2 linked regions of the Lepisosteus oculatus genome follow. The protein of the gene in region 1 purifies or fractionates together with the protein of each later gene. This does not show direct contact. Links are inferred from orthologs where the notes say so. Each region holds a gene or a part of one and is shown in the gene's direction. Other genes may lie near its edges.

Region 1 (10,508 bases):
AAAAACACAGCACAGCCAAATTTGCACTGTATCGTTTTGCACCGTACAGTTTTACACAGCCTCCTTTTCCAATATAATATGTATTAGAATGTGAGACCTACATCATGAAAACCTAAACTCTTGAAGACAATAAAGCAACCAAACAGCAAAAGATCTTAGTACTGAAATTGAATGGGTTGGTTTGTTTGGGAAATCGAGTGGTCGGTGTAAATATTTAAAGTTTTTGGACATGATGCACAACTTATTTTATAATTATGAATACTCAGTATTCATAATTCATAATTTATGTGAACATGAATTACCACATTTAAAGTGCCATACTGTGTTCAAAATCTGTGAAACAAAACAAAAACAACCCTTGCAAAAAAAGATAATCATATATTTTTCTGAGTTCAGTTCAGCAGCTTACATACAGTAAAATTAACATAATATACCGGGTGACTTTTAATTTGCAAGGAAGCCTTGTCAGCCCATATTTGAAACCTATAGATATTAGACAAGCCAACAAAGAAAAAATATTGTAACTTCTTGGGTTAATTATCTGGTGACGTAAACCAATCAAATGTCAGGTCTGAAAAGACAGCATCTACCGATAACTGTTACACTATTCAATGACCACAAGCCTCAAAGTAGTCACGTGCTTATTAATTCTTTTCTCGACAGGAAAGAGTTAAAAACAACTGTCAGTAGACAGCAGCAGCCTGTGACTCTTCCTTCGGGACACATCAAGGACAATGAGGTCATGACCTGTCCTCTGGCAATTAAGGAGATCCGAGACACATCATTACAGCTGGAGACCACTGCTCTCAGAAATGGTCATGACTCTTTACAGCTACAGCCTCATGTGCAAGCACTTAGTGAGACAATTCTGGAGACAATATATAAACTGCAGAATGGCTCTGAGCAGCAGATTAAAAAAAAAGCCAAATCTTTGGAGCCTTTTCCCCACACATTAGCCTCTGAGCAGGGTATGATGTGCGACGTAAATTGCACTCCAAAAACCAAGGTTTCATCTTCTGACTTCGTGTCTGTGGGGAGGGTGTTTGAGCAGCAGCGCACAACATGGGCACCTTGGCACAAGAATCACGGTTCATCCCTGCAGCGTACTCTGCCCTGTCCAGTTTCCCACGCACAACAGCGAGAATGCCACAGGTACCAGCAGCAGCTGAGACCAGCCTGGGGTGAGACAAAGACACAGACTTGTATATCAAACAAAAGGCACCCTGAGAGACGTCCGGGCAGTGAGGGACTTTTAAGGCCCAGCATCTTACAGAACAGCCAGCAGCAGACTCTGCATTCACAGGCACCACACTACTGGAACCAGCCCGTCTTACCCTTTTGGTCTCTGCACCAGGGAGGTGGTGCGTGGACACAGCAGCTTCACAGTGCTCCTGTGTGCTCTGGAAGGCAGGAGCTCCAACCAGCCAGTACTTACCACGCATTTGCAAGCACTACAGATCATGGATCTCAGTTTCATCATCTTCAGGCATTAAACAACTCCTGTCCGTATTACAATTGTGAACCCTTTCTCTTTTGTAATGGGTATCCATTTGGTATGAGCAATTCTCAGATACCTGCAGTGGACTCTCAGCAACTGAGGACATTTTATTCTGATCCAAATTGTTCTGCAGCAAGTCAGCCACCACCAGGTATGTTAGTACATGAGCTTCTGTGTCACTCATTATTTTTTGTTTTACTACATGTATACAGCTTGTGAAATCTACTTTATTGTGCTGAAGACCACTATCTGAAGTTAACAGATTCTTTACATCTTGAAATATATAACATAGTGGAACAAAGAGTTAATGTTTAAACAAAATATGAGATAAATTCTAAAAATGCGTAAAACATTTTTCAGGAAAAAAGTGAATTATCACCTGTCAGCTGTTTGACTGTCAGTTAAACTAACTTTACCTTTGATATTTCTGTTTTTCAGTGTACTGGAATTAGAGAGAAGCAGAGAACACAAGAACATTATGTCTGATGGTTCTATTTTTGGTTGTTTTCAAGAGTCCTTTCTGAAAACTTTAGGTCTGAAAGCTTTTATATGTTTCTTTCATATTTCTTAAAAAATATATTTTTGTATTTTTTGCAGAGTCCTGCCAAGATAATATTTTCCTTCATGCTTTCCTAGAATTTTATGCTCAATTTGTAAAGAACAAAATGTTATCCATGATTTAATCCTATACATTGTCTGAGCACTATTTGTTTCTGTACTGTTTGTCATATTAAAATGTATTTTTGACAAATTTGTCAGTATTTTTCTATAAAAGGTACAGTACTGATGTGACAGAACCCACCCTTAGATAAGGTGGACTCATTGATCTGAGCCCATGAAGATTCACAAGGATGACCCTATATGATGCTGGAGACTTTATTTCAGGGTAAACAGGAGATCTTACATTCAAAAGACTGTAAAGAGAAGCTCCCACCCACACCCCTTGCCTATTGTTAAACTCTAGCAGTCTGACCTGACTGCTTCTTAAAACGCAACTCATCACTAACACAGTGAAAGTCCCTATACCCATGTACCCAAACACATCACTGATTAACACCCATGTGAGAATGTGTCATCTACCACACTGTAAAAATAATAAAAATGAACAATTTAACCCCAGTGAAATTATTCTCGAGTAGAGGACGGTGGCTAGTGGCAGGTCAGTTGTTATTAAAGTCCCTTCAAAGACCAGCCTGCTACACTTTGCTTTTCTTTATTAATGCAAATTTTAGGTTCATTTAATATGTATCCTTGGCAGGGATATAGGGAAAGTATATATACAAAACAGGTAATGCTTTGTATTCCTATGTTTGCATATTAAATGTAATATAAATATTAAATGTATTCAAGATAATACGTTATACAATAGTGTAATGAATCTGTACAGTATTGAGCTAATAAATCTTACAAGTCATTTATGTTAACATAGTAAACCTTTTTTCGGACTGTGGAAATGTTACAAAAAGCCAACAGCATAGTTATACTGCATACAGTTACATAACATGTTAGCAGCTAAAGCTGTACTATACATGACCTATTGTCAAGTTAGACACCATAATCCAAATAGATATGCAAAGGAGAGCAGCATTGTTACAGAGCTGAAAGATGACATCCAGTGTACACACTGTAGGAGGGAGGAAGGGTGCTACTGTCTATATCAGTCCAAACACTTTAGTTCTTATATTTGAGAACGTGGACACGCTGGAGAAGACTACACTTCCCAGGAGCCTCTGGTGAGCAGCAAGCTGGGTCATCGATCACTGGGGTCATCAGTAGTGTGTCTGGAGCAGTATAAAAGAAGCTAGCTGGGCCAGACTGTTGTTTAAAGAGACTAGGCTAAAGGACTGTCCTTCAGTCCAGTCTCCTTAATCTTGGATTTCTGTTTATATCTCCAAATGTGCATGTACAGAACTATATTGACGCAGAGGAAATGTCTCAAGTCCATTAAAAGAGCACTCTTATTATTATTCCTATAGTCCCTGAGTCTCTTCAGCTAGTGCAAAGGAATGTTTCCCTGCTTTGTCTCTCATTGTTCATCTTGTAGAAGTTCAGTGGAAGGACTATGTTGGCTCTTGTGAGCAGTTAAAATACTTGAATTAGATCAGTTTGTCATCCTGTCTATGTCTAAAATGTTAATACTGCAAATAAAACTGAAATTCACGTTTGTGAAGAAGAAAAAGATGGAAGCCAAGACTTTTTGGCAGTTTAAACATTTAAACAAGAGGGTCTACAGATTAATTCAAAAATTACATCTGCTTATACATGATTAGTTGAAGAAGATACTCTAGAAAAGTTTTTATCTTTGTTTTGGGGTCCTAACAGTTAAACAGCAAGATGTGCAAGCATCAAGCAAAGTGTAATCTGAGCAGGGATTGATGAAAACAGATTATTCACTAACTCTGGCAGTGGCAAGGGATTTCATCTGGTTGCATCATGCTATTGAGTTTGATTGCTCTAAGCACAGTATCTATTTCCACACTTACTACCACCAGACACCTGCTGATCCAGAAGGCCCTCAGACCTTCAAATGCAGACTGTGCATTGCACTGTGCACCTAGATGACAAGATGTTTTGAATATTTCTGAACATGTGTGGAAGTAGAGGGCCCTCTGGTGAAACACAGAGGCACTCACAATAGTTTCAGCAGTCAAATGTCAATTGATTTTCACTGTGCCTGGGACCCTACACAATAAACTGTAGAAACACAATCCTCTGCCAAAATGAAAAATATTCTATTTAGTTCAAAATAAAGTTTTGAAATGTGGTTGTCTTTTGTTTCTCGTGGAACTTTAACAATCATTCATATATAGGAAATATACCACCCAAAACTAAAGCATAAGATACATTTTTTCTGGTAATGCAGGTACTATCAATTTGGCAGTCCCTATGAAAAAGGCATTGTGTGGCTGAAAGATCATGTTAAAAACTTGAATCATAAATAATCAATCCAATTATCATTTATTAAAACACGTGCAGAAACAGGTTTAAAACGTCTAACCAAGCAGTAGTTCATTTAAAGGAATAAATAGGCTCATGAGTAAGAGCTCTACTGGAAAAAAAAACTGTAACACAGATGCCCTCCAGGACCGGGGTTGAGAAGCACTAACCCACAGTTTATAGCCAACTAGGTCTTCTCTGACAGCGGAGGGCGCTAGAAGAATAACTGCTAACTTGCTAAAGCTATTTGCAGTTGGAGGGAAACGTCTCTTCACCGAGTGTTTTTCTTGCTTTGTGAAATCTCCGGTGTTGTGGTGGAAATGCCATTGTGATGACGTTTGGGGGAGGAGAGCGCAGAGCCGGTCGGCCATTACACAGCTGAGTTTCGCTGGGAAGGTCGGGGGGAAGAGGAGCTACTGGCAGTGAAGGAAGAGTGCGGCTCATCCCCTGCTACCCACCCGCTGGACCCAGGAACCAGAGCGCCTAAAGTCTTAGGGGACTTGAAAACGCCCGGACCAGTTTGATTTCGCCGTTTCTGAGCCGATTTCAGCTATCTGTTCCGAAAGCCGAGGTGCCCCCCTTCGCACCGCTCTGCAAAGCTCCAGCTTCAGCCTTTCAGCGACGAATTTCGATAAGAAAAAAAAGAAACGAGTCACTGCTCGAAACAACTTAGTGCTTAAAACCGCTTTGCCGTGTGTGTTTTTAAAAATGGACGATAAAGCCTTTACAAAAGAACTGGATCAATGGGTCGAGCAGCTGAACGATTGCAAGCAGCTGACTGAGAACCAAGTGAGAACGCTGTGTGAGAAGGTACGGCAATTTATGGTTTTTACCATGCATCTTGGAAGTGACTGTGTGTGTTCAAGTTTCAACTGAGGGTCAGTCTTTTTTGGTGTAATGTACCGGCATTTCGCCCCTAGCTTGTGAACGCTCGCTGTACTCGGGTAAAGTGAAGTGGGCTGCTGATGTTTGGGGCCCCAGCGACGGCGCTGCCAAATAGTGACCGATTGAACGCGAGCGGCGCGTCAGCTGCGGGCTGGGTGAGAGCTGCGAGATAGTGATCCGTGGCGCATGCGGCGTCCGCAGCCGTCAGGTGGGGAGAGCTCAGTGCGCCTGTGCGGGACGGGCTGGTGGGGCTCGTTCCAGCGCATCAGCAAAAAGGACCAGACGTGCTGCTCACAGGAGAGCTCGTTGTGGTTTGTGAGGCTTTTCTGTTCTGAAATTGCTGTGTTTATCCACTTCGTTATTGAGCGTTGTATATGCACGTTAGTGCATTTTAGTAGAGTCATGACAATTAATTTAAACCACGCGATATAAAACAAAAAAAAACTTATCTTGCTTAATTTTTTCCTAAGTGGGGTTTAAAACAAGCAATATTAACTTTGAAGAACACTCATAATATAAAGCGAGAAACAACGATGCTGTGTTTGTGGAACACAGCAATATTGTGAATGTAAAGCAACCATACATTGAAAAATGTTCTCACAGTCATGGAGTTTGTAATAAAGTACTACTTTAACCTCCGTAGGCACCATCATAATGTCTGTTTTGCTGGTGGCACGCGTAATCTCACGGGTTTCGATGCTCGCAGGTCACGGTCAGTTCAGTCTTGCAGGTTCTGCTGAATTCGGCCCTTGTGCACGAGGACGCCAGCTTTCGAGGTCCAGTTGCCCCGGGACGAGGCACCTGCTGTGTCCAGCGCACATCAGGCAGTAGCACCGTGTAAAAAGAACAAACTCGGGATTTTCTTCTAAAGCAGGGCTCCTCAACCTCCAGCCTGCTCTATTTTCCATTATTTCTACAACCAGCTTCTTAATTATTTAGCTGCGGACCAGTAGGATCAATATAGTAATTAAGGGGCGGGTTGCATGAGTTGGAGAATGATTTTGTTGCTCAAAGGGTTTTTATGACACTGTACCTTTTGATAGGGGGTCTGTCATCTGTCCTGGGGAGTCTAATACAGAAATATTAATTCTTGGACCTAAAGGGTTGCAGTTTGCCAGTTTCACAGGTTTACGTAGGGGTAATCCGCAATGGGTAAAGACTTGAAATAATACAGAGCAGCAGAGTGAACAGCAGAGTCCAGCTTGGAATGAAAACCTGAAAACAACAGCCCCCCAGGACCAGCAATGAATATCAGTGGCCTAGCATGTCCGCCAGTTTTCTAGGTCTCTTTCATTCACTGACAACTGAAGAGCTGGGCAGCGTTAAATTGGTATAGCCAGTAACAAGCTGATTTAGGTCATTTAGAAATGAGATGGAATGAAAACCTACTAAAACACCGGACCTCCAGAATCTTTATAGTCACCAAGCAGAGAGACCTGGGGTTGGGATTAAAACACCATGGACAGTTAAGAACTTCAAACACATCACTAGATGGGAGTCATGCTTTTCACTTAAGAAATGGCTTTGAAATTTGTGATTTTGTTTGTGGGTATAGGTTGTCTAGCTCTGGATCCTGGGCAGTGTGTGAAATTGTGTCGCTAAGGCAAATTAATAGGCCACTGAATTCCTTCAACGCTGTGCTGAATCAGAAACTAGAATGAATCACCTTAGCATCAGTTAAAATCAAGTTTAAATCTTGTTTTATAGGAAGGTTAGGATCTGATAACTACAAGTAAGGATTTTCATAGGCTATGTGCTAAGGTTCTAGGCCTGCTATTGTATATGTAAGTATGAAGAATACAACTGTTCCTAATTTAAGGGTAAAAGTATTTTTCTGATGGTGTTGCTGGGAGAGAAAAAATAATTGGGTTCCGGTCATGGCCAATCAGAACTGCTTTGGGAACATTAAGATGAGTCTGCTAATAATGATGGCTTTATTAAAATGCTCCAATAAAAGTTGTAACATGCCCAAGTGTGTGCCTCTGCAATGTCTCTTTACTAACTGAGTGCTGGGCTCCTCCATCTCCATTCTGAGGATTCTTCTGAGATAGCAATAGGGGCTCTGTTTCCCTCATTGCCTTTTTCCTCGCAACCAGTCTGTTTGAAACAAACCTACATGATCCCATGTTTCTTTAGCTTCTTTCTACCCCAGCTGTTGCCTGCTCGCAGAACTGTCATCCACCTGATAGAAACAGGCTTTTGAGTCTTTCAGTCTCAAACACCGACTGCTTCTGAGCCCAAAGTCAAGCCTGGTTTCCTGGGATTGTATTGTCAGCGTTTTTATCTTTGGAACAACCACAGGGATGAAAGCATCACTTCTTTTCCTACAGTTCTTTTTCAGTTAGTAGCTCCCTGTGTTTTAAAGAGAGTTTTTGGAAAGTCTTGCCCTTGCCTTCTCCCGGGTGAATAAACACCATTGCTTGAATGTCGGTCCCCTAGTTCATTTCCATGATGTTCACGCCAGCTTGATGTGACTAGCATGTGGTGTTTTCTGCTGCTTGGACACTGAAGAGGTGGATGAGATTGTGAGCTTCGGAGAGTGGAGTTTCCCCTCTGCTGTGGCGGGGGGCTTTGAAACACGTCTGGGTGTTTGTGACCTGAGCAGACTGTGTGCTGCTTCTTTCTTGTGACCTCTGCAGGGTTGCATGTTTTTTTTCTTTTTAAATCACTTATAGGATTTTACGTCTAATTCCAACTGCACAAGCTGTTTAAGGGACGTCTGCTGTCCCAGATGTCCAGTTTCCACTCTCTGTCTCTGGTTGGAGTTAACCTACTGCACGGTTCCTTGTTGATTAATTTTTGGCAAAAGTGATGATGTGGGATTTTTTTTTTGTCAAATACATTATCGGGGAACACTCTTAATGCTTCAGCTTTTTTGTCGGTGGCTTACAGTTACTACTCCTGAATGTTAAAGTGGTCACATCTAGCTATAGACTCATTAACTCAAATATACCCACACATTTGGGGAGCTTGGGGAAATTCTCTGCAATCTTGGGATACTACATCTATTTTAAAGTCCTTCATTTACATTACAGTGCTTTGCAAATGTATTCAGACCCTTTCTACTTAATATTCCATCCATGCATTTTCTAACCACTTTATCCAGTACAGGGGGGCCGGAGCCTACTTCCAGCAAGCAACAGTCAACAAGGCAAGTGTATGCTCTGGACAAGATGCCAGTCCATCACCGCGCACACAGACACAAACAGAAGCTAGTTAACCTGCTGGTATTTCTTCGGACTGTGGGAGGAAACCCAAGCAAACTCGGGGAGAACATGCAAACTCCACAAAGAGCACCCACGAATCAAATGTGGGGCTCCAGCACCGTAAGACTGGGCCACCATGCCACTTAATTAATTATGTTAGAAATGTTAGTAAAAATTAAAGAAGAAACGCAGAAATAAGTTGATTGCGTTTTCAGACCTGTGAATATTTGGTGGAAGCAACTTTGGCAGCAATTCTAGCTGCAGGTCCTTTTGATTAAGTCTTTTCTGACTTTTTGCACTTTTGGCAGATTTTCTCAAGGTCTCACAAGTTGCTTGGGGATCTCTTATGTGCAGTAAGTCTTTACACAGATTCTCAGTAGAATTCAAGTCACCTCTCTCAAGGACATTCACTTTCATGCTCTTAAGGCACTTTACTGTAGCTGTGGCCTTGTGCTTTGGAACACTGTCCTGCTGAAAGATGAATTTTTGTCCCAGTTGTTTTGTCTGAAGCAGAGTTTCCTCTAGGATTCACAAGTACTTTGCTCCATCTATGTTACCATAAATGAGAAGCAGAATAGTAACATAACACGGTACTCGCCATACCTAACACACAGATGGTGTTGATTGAGTGATGTGTTGGGTTTGAACCAAATATAATACTTTGTTTTAGACTAACAAATTCCTATTTTCTCTCATCTGACCACAAAACCATTTGCCATATTTCTGCAGTATTGCTTAAATTCTTAACTTTGTAAATCTGCTATAGAGGCCAGATCTGTGGGGTGACCCAGATATCGTTGATTGGTGCACGTTTTCTCCCATCTCATCTGGACTCGGTAGCAGTTGTAATATTCACCTTTGGCCTCATGGTCGGATCGCTTACTAGTTTCCTCCTTTCCCAGCCGTTCAGTTTGGAGGGAAAGACTGATCTAGGTAGTGACTTGGTGGTACAATACACCCTGCGTTTCTCGATGATTGTGCTCACAAGGGTAGACACCTCAGTATTTTTTGTACCCTTCTGGTTTTTGCTTTTCAGTGACTTTATCCCTGCATTGCTTTGAAAGTTTTCATAGTTGTGTCTTTTGCATGGCATTCACTACCTGACCAAGGAACCTCACAGAGAAAGGAGGTTTTGTATTCTGAGCTCACGAGAACCATTTCTGAGTGAGCACAGTGTGTGGGTGAGTAAGGTGTGCGCCTTCATTTAGATTTGCTATGGCGAAGGGTTTGCATGTTGATCAAATACTTTTACATTTCCTTTCATATCTTTCAATTTGTTTGCCATGAATATGTGTATATAACAAATTGCAGCTTCCAATTGTCTGCAAGCTGTGACAGGGTCTGAATACTTTGGGATTTGTGGTGGAATCCTGAGTACATGGACACAGGGCTTACATGCAAACTCCACAACAGAAGGAGCACCCAGGCCCAAGAGCTGTCAGACGACCGCGCTAGCCTCCACATAACCGTGCTGAGCTCCCTAAAAGAGAGCTTTAAATTTGTAAAATGTTTACTAATTAGAATTGTTTATTGGCCTTCAGAGGTCTTGGTATTTATGATTTGAATTTGAAGATTTAAGAGTACACTTTTTCCTCATTGCCAAGGCTTAGAAACATTGAGGAGTTTTATTGATGCCTTCACTGTTGTGAAAGTTTACTTACTAGACTGCCTAAGTGAATTTATAAACCCAAGAGACATATTAATCCAGTGTTGTCAGATCGTGATGCATAAGGTACCTCACATGTGGTCTTTTCTAATAATTTTCTCTCTAACTCAGGTTCTCAGTATGACATCTTCCTCTCCTAAGGAATCCAATATCAATATAGCTTTATGATGTTATCATCCTTGAATGCCGGTGTGGAATTTCTTATGGAATAATTGAGATGTCCAACCATTGTTGAACACAATGGTTTTGAGATTTGGTCTGTTGCTCCAGCTGGGTCCCGCGATGAGGTGGTGTCAGTTTCCGACAGTCTGCTCTG
Region 2 (10,508 bases), on another chromosome or scaffold:
AAAAAGGTTTTCTTTATTGATAGAACAATTTAAACTCGACAATGTTTTTAGAGCCAAAAAATTGTCTCAGCCTCTGAAGTGTTGAAATTGGACAAACTGGAATTAGCATGCCAACTATATAGTAAAACTGGAAATTGCTATCTATAACTTGCAACAAATGAATGGCACTGGAGTACAGCTGCGCTTTAGATTTTCGGACCTGCACAGGAAATGGAAGCAAACTGGGCAAAGCAAAGAAGATCATTCCACAGAGATTTGTGACCTTCCCTGGACATTTCTGTGATCAGATCCGCCAATTCGCCAGCTCCCTAACTGGGACTCAACAAACCTACTGTATATCAGGTCCTACTCCAGCCCTGCGACTTGTACTCTAGCAGACTGCTTGGAGCAGGTAAGTGTGTAGTCTGTGCTCTAAAACGACATTAGTTCAACTGAGAAGTCAGCTGCACAACAGGTCATTCGAGAACAGATTTAAACAAGATATTTGTTAATTTTCTGTCACTTCATTTTCTTTCACTTGACCAATTAATGTTTCTATTTCTGTTAGCATAGTGTGTAATATGCATGTAAAATATTATTTTTTTAATTACACACTAGAAATATGGTTAGAAAATATTTAATTGACCATTTTAAAACACCATCTGGAAATGGTGGAGATTTATCAAAGATTCATCCCATTAACTTTCATCCAAGGCACCAGGTAGTTTACCTTTAGGAAACAGATGCGCAACAATTCACTTACGCGATAGAAAACAGTCCATAATGTTCATACATTTCCTGTTCTGTTTTAAAATTCTATCTGTTTTTGCAGCTTCTAAGTGTGACCCAGGTTATTCTGGCAGATGAGGAGAAAATGACTTCCCCTCCCAATGTTACAGTGCTGCTTCTAACAGCGTATGAGAAAATGGGCAGCATGAAATACTTGTATTTTGTCTTCATCTTTGTAGCTTTCTTGGTAACTATTTTTCTTAATGGTTTCCTCATTCTTATTGTTTATCTAAAAGAGAACCTTCACAAGCCCATGTATATGTTTTTGAGCAACCTGTTTGTAAATGGCTTGTACTGGAGTGTTGCTCTGTATCCTCAAATTCTGAGTAACTTGCTGTCAGATGTGCATAAGATCACCCGCTTCTGGTGCCATTTTCAGGTATTTTGTCTTTATACTTATGCTGGTTACGAATGTACCATACTGACAGTAATGGCGTATGACAGATTTGTGTCCATCTGTATGCCACTGCAATACCACAGAATCATGACGCCTGGGACTGTATCTAAGCTTGTTGCTTTTGCCTGGCTGTTTCCTGTCTTGATTTTTGGTGTACTTGTAGGATTAAGTTCCAGGGTTCCATTGTGTGCCAATACTACTGACAAAATGTTTTGTGGAAATTGGGCTATTGACACAAAACTGGAAAGCTATTTTGGGATCCTTGCAACAGTTTTATTTCCCTGTGTGTCCATGCTTCTCGTTCTGATTTCCTATCAGAGAATACTGAGAGCCTGCTTGAAGGCTTCAAAGGAAGCAAGAGGCAAAGCTCTGACTACGTGCCTGCCTCACATCATAACGTTCCTGAAGTTCTGCATAAACGTCCTCTTCGAGGTCATCAGCCGCCGTCTGGACAACAGCAGTGTGCCGTTAGCGGTGCGGACCTTCCTGTCTCTGCAGTTGTTCATTGTCCCCCCTCTGCTCAACCCACTCATTAACAGACTCCGACTGCAGGAAATGAGGAGCACCGTGGAGAAGGTTATTTTCAGACACAAGAGTGCAGTACAGCATAATTAATAGTTAAGCTATAGTCGTGCTCAGATTTGTATTTTTTTCATACTTGTGTAAAAAAATGTATCAGTTAAAAATCATACATCTAAACAGATCTGTTTCCTTATTTAAAATAAGAGACTCAAAAGAAATAACACAAGCATTGTGTCAGACTATAACAGATCTGAGAAGACTTTTTGATTTCCAGCATTTTGAAAAGTGTTGCCTGTGTCAGACAAAAACTGGTTTAATAACATTATCAAAACAGCAGCATAATTATGATGTCATTATAATGTTCTTTCACCTGCTTTCAAAATCCTATTGGAAGTCAATTTTCTATAATCATATTTATGTAAAATGTTTTTTTTTGTTTTCTTGCCATACAACACTAGAGTCTTTATATTGTTATATATAAAATATTAAAAACAATTGATTTCTAATATGCTACCTTAGTATGCACCTTACTAGAAAGTTAAATGAAAATTTCAGCTAGTTTTAGCTTTTCTAGTTCAGTCTACTTATCCTGGTTTGTGATGCTGATTGAAATAAAGACTTGTAAATATGAAATTTATAGTAAACAATCAAGAGCATACATTTCATGTTTAATCTTATACATTAAATAGAGATAATGCTGTTTTTCCCTAAGAATATGTTTTGAGCCAAAAATGCAAGATACTAAAGCACTCTCTGCATTATGAATGAACAATGTCTTTTCCACCTACTGACTTTTGGTTCCTTGCAATATGAAATAATGACTTTGTGTTACATGGTCACTGAGTCCTAACATATGAGTTTTCCTCATAAAGAACTTCTCCCAGATGGAATTCTCTTTTGCATTTTTCTTGCTTTCATGCCAAGGTATTGGTATGACTTCAGCCTCCTGAGTGCTTCTTTTACTGAGGAGGCTTTTAATTGAGCACTTTGGGCTCCAAACAGACTGTATGGTCCTAATCCCAGAGACAAATTATTTCCTGTGGTGTCTAACAGTGTGCTGCTTCCGAATCAGCCTGAAAGACTAAAGACCTCTTGTTGGGGTCCAGGACGTTCAGATAAATCACACTTCAAAGACGGGTTGAGGAGCAGTGCCTTTGCAACATTAAGTATTCAAACAGCTCAAGGCGACATAAACTTTGAGGTTCACTTTCTGGTGCTGTACCTGAGTCATATGTGAAGCTATCATCAGGTCTTTCTTTAAGTATTAAGCCGTACAGAGGGGTATTGAACACAGTGTGTGATCAGGAGGTGTGGATGGGCTATTCAGAAGCTTTTAAAGCTTTATTTGCTCTTTCACAGCAATCTTGGGCTGTGAGGGACCTTTTTTATGTGTGGAGATTCCTGTCTCCAACTCCAAGCCCTCTTAGATAAAACCATCATATGTGCTGGCTGTTGAACAGTAGACTCCATGAAAAATAGTAATAGTATTCAGAGTTTAATCCACTTCTCCAATATTAACAATGCAGACACTGCTTCCAACAAGATTTTACGACCAATTGTCACAAAGTTGCATTGATTGGAGATTGTGTTTTATCATCTCCTAATTCAAGAAAATGACTACCTAGGAAGGTCTACAGTGAAGAGGGGGTTATTAGCAAATAGCCGTGTGGGAAGAATGAATGGATATAGTAGGAATACCTAAATATTTATAAGAGTTTTGACGTTCTAACAATCTCACAATTAGGGCCTTGCTGCACTTATATTTCTAAAATCTCAGTCGTCTCTAGAAAGACACCTTATCCAGCGACAGATACACTATAATGCCAACACGGTCTGTCATTCAAGGTGACTCAATTCGTGTTTCCTTCCGGACGAGATTTAGGAGAGAATCCTCGGATGCTTGGATTTGTTACGTTTACCTATATTTGAGCTTTTAAAGTAATACATAATTAACGACATAATTTAATATATATCCCTCTTTGTACATTTTTATAATCCTTTACATTGAACTTTAACAAGATAGACCCGTGAGACATAACTAACTTTCTCAAGCGGAACTAAAGAATTGAAGTGTGTTCACGTCGGAAAGATTTAGTGTCGTGCACGTAGTAGCAGCAGGGCAAGCTGCTGGAAAGTCAGGTAATAATTCAAAAAGACATTTTAAAAAAAGAGATCGAAGGTAGGTTTTTGAATTTCATAGTATACCAAGCCTCGTGTAACATGGGTATTCCTGACTTAAATGGTAGATTTTAAAATCCATAGGTTCAGAAACGTTTGGAGTTTATAAAACAGGCTTGCAGGGAAACTAGCATAGTCGTTAATAGTGGGGTTGGGAACTTGACTTTTATAGGGATATTACGCATCTCTAATTTGAGGTGGTTTCTACTAATTGTAGTAGACGTGTCTTGTATAATCCTCATTTATTCATGAGTAATAAATACATATACTTAAATCGGATGTTTTGTATCATCTGACTCGTGACCCAAGACATAAAACGCTGTAAAGCACTTCCAGATTAATAGTTGTTCCAGCTTCTACTAAAAATACATAACATTTATTCTTAGTATCTCTCCCACCACGTTTTGTTTCAGCTTTTGTCCTGTTTATTCGGCTCCATTATGTGTCGTTGTGTAAGTTTTAATTTTAAAAACTTTTTTGTAGGATTTTTTCCCCCCAGGATTGACAGCTATGTTGTCTCATGGATTTAAAAGCAGTAAGCAGGACTTTACATTTGGTCCTTGGAAGGTTATGGCAGAAAAAACCCACATCATGAAATCTAAAGACATTGAACGGTAAAAACGGGCCTTTTATATGTTGTTATCGATTTCTGTGCATTACAGTAATGTTTGTTTTACTTGTTTTGTTGGATCCTTCTAGTAATATATAGCAGTTAATATACAGTATTTTAGTGCTTAAACATGAAAAGAGTGATGAAAAACCAAAAAGCATGAAAAACAACTGCATAATTGTAGGGAATGATATTGTTGGTGTGATGTTAGATGTGCCTACTGTATTGCGTGAAAAAAAGTTTGAGACATTTTGTATTGTTCAGCTCTTTTCAAAGTTTGACTTCTTTAGATAAAAACAGTGGCAGTTTTCTGTTGAACTTTTAGCCACTTTAATATAACCGATACTGATAAATCTGTATATTGTCAAACGGAAAGTAGCCTGTTACCTTTCTTGTCTTGTCTCAATTAATCGCTTAGTTAGCAGATCTAAGAATCTAGGGTGCCTAGTAGGTGTTGTTAGAATCAGCAGTGAAACAGGATCCATAGGGTACAAATGGAAACTGAGGGAAAATGCATTTAAAACTGAAAACAGAAAGTTCTTCTTTATCCAAGGGGCTGTGGAAGCATCTAGACATATCATTGAAACTCATACCATAAGTAAATAAGTAGCTGATTCAGCAACCTAACAACCTAAAAGGCCTTAGTGTCATCTGTAACTTCTCTTATGTGCTTATTTGTTTTGGAAAGAGTAGCAAAACCTTTCTTCTTCTGACTAGCAGAAGGCTGTTCAAATGCATACAGTAATTCAAAGGAGGACTAATTTGCGCTCCAATATATTAACAGTTTGGCCGACGAGATGCATATGCCTTCGCTTCCTGAAATGCTCTTTGGGGACAATGTGCTACAGCTACAGCACTCTGACGGCTTTGGGATCAAGTTCAATGCGATAGATGCCCTGAAGCGCGTCAATAACATGCAGGACTCTGTCAAAGTGGCCTGTGCACAGGAGTGGCAGGAAAGCCGGTGAGAGCAAAGTTGTTCGTTACCTGTCAACTTCAGCACCAAAGAGCCAGATTCTTCAGTGGTGCTAAACTACTCCCTTCTTATAATAATCAATTTTCCTTCTTGTCTAACTAGAAGTGCACAGCTCTGCTAGATTTCTCTTTATTGACCTTAGAAATGGGGACCATTATTTGAACTACGTTTGTTGATACAGGCATTGTGTAAAACCTTTAAAAAACGTAATCATTTATGTAAACATATGGGCTTGTCCTTTGATGTTTTGGAATATTTTCAGAGGAGATAATATCATTTAATGTTGTGTGTGTAGATGTGGTTTGTGCCTTGCCATGATTATTTGGTTGTGTGATTCATTCATGTGCATTCTTGGTTCGTAATGTTCTCTATATGGCAGCAAAACCTAGCTTATGATGTGGATCACAGTGGAATTAAACACCCATGCTGACCCTGAAACCTGGTCTCGGTCAGTAATATGCATATTTCCTTTTTTGTGGACATTTGTAGAGCTGACTCGGAGCACTCCAAAGAGATCGTGAAACGATACGACTGGACATACACAACAGATTACAAAGGCACTTTGCTGGGGGATGAGAGGAAGTTAAGGGTAAGATTTGAGTCTTTTTGACTTTCGGCACGAATATTAATGTTTGATATACCAGCCTTCTGCTGCATTTCCGATTCTTTTTAAAAAGAGAAGTAATAATCCCTGTCAGAGCTGTTGACAGCTGTTCTTTTTATAGTAGAATGATGAACGTGATTTTTCTTGTTTGATCTTGCTTGAAAAGAAGACAGTTGAATGGAAATGTTTTTATTCCAGTCTTTGCAAGATGCCTGTAAACCCTTTTTTATGCCAATGTTTAGGTAGTCCCCACAACAGACCGTATTGACATGGAAAAACTTAAAGCCCGAGAGCAGATCATGTTCTTTGAGGAGGTTTTGCTGTTTGAAGATGAACTGCATGATCATGGGGTTTCTATGATCAGTGTAAAAATCGTGAGTAATATATTTCTCTTACATGGACATGCAAGAAGGTCATTTAAAATTTGAATTTTGGAGTTTGACTGTGTGTTAAATTAAGTCAACAGCAAAGTTTTGGAAAACTGATTTATTGAGGTTTGCATGATGGACTTCAAAAATCCTTACTAAAATGCTTTCTTGTTCTGAAGAGAGTGATGCCATCTAGCTTCTTCGTGCTCTTGAGGTTCTTCCTGCGGGTTGATGGAGTGCTGATTCGAATGAATGACACTCGTCTCTATCATGAGGCAAGTAGATTGCTTGAGATGATTACTGCTGCAGCCTTTTCCCCCCTCTAGTGCTGAAATGGGAACTCTTAAATAATGGAACTACAAAAGGTGGTCATTGTAAAAAGTCAATATTGTGTTGAAATTAATTGAATTTTTCATTGAACTTCTGTGTAGTTGTAATGCAATTCTTTTATTTAAGACGTTAATGGATATTAGATATATTTAATTTCATGCACCAGTAGTAGGTTGCATTCAATTGCAAAATAAAAAAAAAGCTTTTTGATAGTAAAAGAGAGTGGAAGATTTTATTTAAAAATACTTATTGTGGATCTTATCTGCATTCTTTGTTGATGTGTTTTTGTTTTCTGCTGCTTGTAGGCCGACAAGAATTACATGTTAAGGGAGTTCAGTACCAGGGAAAGCAAAATTTCAGACTTGCAGGTATGTTTGTGACTATTATTATCAAACCCGAAGGTGGGGGTATTTAATGAGTTTTGGGCAGAAATCACGTTGCTTGACAAATATTTGTAAAATGATCACAATAGCCATAGCTAATGGAAACATGTTTGAAAGGTGTTTACGCTTTCAGAACCTTTGTGTAACAATAAAACAATTCATCTGTATTTGTGATGGCGGCACTATGCTAATAACAAGGGCATGCTTAATTCAACCAGGCATATTATTTTGTTGAAGTAGTTCAAGTAGGTAGCTGTGTCAGCGTGTGTAGGCTCCAAAGGAACAAGTAAAGTTTTATTCCATGCTGAAAATATAAGAAAAGAAACGCACCGTTTTGGCCGTGGAGCCTTCTTCAGAACCCTTTTTCTACGCGAAGAAGGCTCCACAGCTGAAACGTTTTTTCTTTTCTTCTCTTTTCAGCATGGAATAAAACTTTACTTGTTCCATATTATTTTGTGGACGAGGGCTGTTTTGGACTGGTTTTAGGCCGCTTGTATTCTTTTGCTGACAAGGCAGGTGGCGATGTCTGTTCATGTGTGCACGGCCGTTTATATATTACGCTTGTTAATAAACGCTTATTTTTCTAGCATGTTCCCCCTGCTTTCTACACGGACCCCAATGAGATCTCCCAGTACCTGCCTCTGAAGCTGCTGGAGTGTGAGAAACTGGCATTCCCAGAAACGGGCCCGCAGGCAGAATCGCCGGACAAGCTCACAGAGACCGAGCCAGAGCGAACGTGAATCCTAACAGATGGGAGGAAGGAGAAAGGAGTAGCTCCTGCTTTCTGGATTTCTGCTTCTCACACAAGACTCTTCGTTTCTGGGGAAATCCAGGATGGGGTTACCCCTGCCGGTCTTTTCTCTAATGGCCGTTGTCCACAGTCATGGGTGGAGAATGAAACATTCGTCTTCACTTCAGATTTAAACAAGATTCTCTGCATAAACCGGTGTGTTCACAACATAGGTAGCTTTTAAGGCTTATGATGAACAATAGAAACATCTGTGACTTGTACTCATAAAGGCCTTTTTTCTAAAAAGTGAATGTGGACTTGCACTTGTTCTGACTTTAGATATTCGATATCTAAAGTAGATATACTTTAGATTAGATATACACAGTCATGTTTTATGGACTATATGAACATGCATAACATGTTTCTGTTGCAGATGATCTTGTTGGGCTAAAAAGGATATTTTTCCATGCTGAAAAGTAATATTTCAGATGTTCCAGTAATATTTGAGATGTTCACTGAAAGAAGGCTCCATAGCCAAAATGTGTTTCTTCTTTCTGCTTTTCAGCGTGGAATTAACCTTTGCTCACTCTTGTTTTCATTGTTCATCATTTTTACCCATGGATATTTAAAGAGACTTTTGTAAAATGTATATGTCTTACCTACACTAAAAGCCAATGATGAGGAGAAATTAAATATTTACCCATCAAATGGAATGTGAGAATTTAGGTTAGCTGTAATATTAGTGTACATGTTTTAAACCCCCTTGACAATGGGTGTGTTGTGTAAATGTCTAATCTTTACCTTTGATGTAATCTTAATAAACATATAATGGTGCTATTTTCCATATCCCAGTGCAGTGAATACTGCAGTATCATTGGTGTACTGACTTGGACCTGAAAAAACATTCTAATATAATAATTCATTTTAATTCCATCCCCAGAGGTTAATGGCAGATATTGTGTGTTTATGTGTGTTGTGGAAATTAGAAATCCTCATGCAACACTCATACTACATATCCCAAACCTCCCTGAAAGCTGGGTGAGAAGGCAGTTAAGGGGCTAATGCACATACAGTATAAAGAGTTTTGCTGATATTCCTGTTAATGCAGGACTGAGTATTTCTGTGAAGGGTTCGCTCTGCCAAGGTCTTGATCTATTTGTTTGAAAACTAGTCCAAGAGGCAGATTGCAACATAAATATGCCTCAGGTACTATGTCACATTTTAACATTTTATTTCAGTTACCTTAGTTATAAAAAGAGGCAAAGTATGCTTTGCTTCTCTACAAATCTTTGTATTCAGAGCAAGGAATACACATTCAACGTTTACTTCACTCATGTTAAATATACAGCAGGGATAAAACATTTGCAGAGTTTCTGAAAATATTCTCCAAATAAGTTTGTTGTTTTTCTTCCAAATGTTTTTGATGTGCAGACTTAAATTTGTGTTTGAAATAGTAACTCTTACAGTATCTCAACAAAGTGTTTTTGGATCACTGTAAAATGGTTGAATTATGTCCAGAGTTGTAATGTCTATTTGTTCATTTTCTTTTATGTCCACTGGATGAAAAGTCCAAAATCTTAGTGAGCCTGGTACACATCTTGCCGATCCCTTGGTTTTGCTTTGCAACGACAACATTGACTTGGTTTGCTGAAAGAAGAAACTTTTAACCTATGCCTTAACAAATGTGGTGAATACTGTTTCAGAAAATTCCCTGTAAATTCTAAATACATATCTGCAAATGAAAATAACGTGACTTTTAATTCATTTAATTACAGTTTAAATGCTTTCTTAAGTGGGAATAATACCTGTATTTTAAAAGGGTGGTAGCATAGCTCCCCTTGTATACCCTGGCGTGTCTACCCCAGGAACGTCACTAAATTTCTGGGAGGCCTGACGTGTGTCTGGATTTTATTCTAATCTGTTTTGTCAAATAAGCAAAAGTTGACTCAAAACATTCCCTACGTTAAAATTACAGTGACCTTTCAAACACTCTGGAGCCTGGTTAGACATATTACAGTTATGCAGTTAATTAGATCAACTATGCAACTGGAAGCTCAGGTGTTACAAAACCCAGAAAACACTAGGGCTTACTGAAACTAGGATAGACATTTGAGATCTAAAAGTTCCATACAAAATGTCATTTATGTGTCTAGGCTTCCCCTGTTTCTTGAGTAATATTAGGCACTTTCCTCATTAGTTATTTATTACTTACTCACTTTAAAAGGAGTTTTTTTAAATCACAATTTATAAATTGTTTCCCACTGCTGCTTTGTGTTCAGTGTTGTCTACAAATTCTTTTAGTTCCACTTGCAAATATAACCTAGTTATTCAGAGGGTTTATTTATCTTCATGAATTATTAATCATGTGTGATTCCAGTGTTACTGGATTAATGTCTAAGAAAATAAAGACTGAATGATTGATACGGTGCGGAACCTTTATCTCAACTGCCTTGTTTCCTGGCAGACGACTTTCTTTGAGACATAGTGTATCCACGTGTGTCTGCTGCTTAAGCTGCAAGTAAGGATTTTCACATTTACTTTTCGGAAGGTTTAAATGAATGATATGTAGTGTCTTAGATCACGTTTGTTTTAATATTTGAATTCGTTTTCACAGAATTATTAGCAGCTTTCATTGTTAATTA

What was found. The genes of interacting proteins can lie anywhere in the genome.
Region 2: the proteins of ppp2cb (region 1) and tiprl purify together in Homo sapiens (co-immunoprecipitation; 3 studies listed by BioGRID and IntAct, with this or other methods). This does not show direct contact. The link is inferred for Lepisosteus oculatus from reciprocal best matches to the Homo sapiens genes PPP2CB and TIPRL.

Annotation. Positions count from the first base shown.
Region 1 is NC_090698.1:27,325,940-27,336,447, forward strand, and holds the start of ppp2cb (serine/threonine-protein phosphatase 2A catalytic subunit beta isoform), read left to right. Parts: upstream 1-4,755; 5' UTR 4,756-5,143; coding exon 5,144-5,245; intron 5,246-10,508.
Region 2 is NC_090700.1:7,029,926-7,040,433, reverse strand, and holds tiprl (TIP41-like protein), read left to right. Parts: upstream 1-3,748; 5' UTR 3,749-3,826; exon of another isoform or gene 3,827-3,866; intron 3,867-4,348; 5' UTR 4,349-4,375; coding exon 4,376-4,479; intron 4,480-5,259; coding exon 5,260-5,439; intron 5,440-5,940; coding exon 5,941-6,040; intron 6,041-6,297; coding exon 6,298-6,429; intron 6,430-6,602; coding exon 6,603-6,698; intron 6,699-7,058; coding exon 7,059-7,121; intron 7,122-7,723; coding exon 7,724-7,876; 3' UTR 7,877-9,614; downstream 9,615-10,508. UniProt on the Homo sapiens protein: May be a allosteric regulator of serine/threonine-protein phosphatase 2A (PP2A). Isoform 1 inhibits catalytic activity of the PP2A(D) core complex in vitro. The PP2A(C):TIPRL complex does not show phosphatase activity.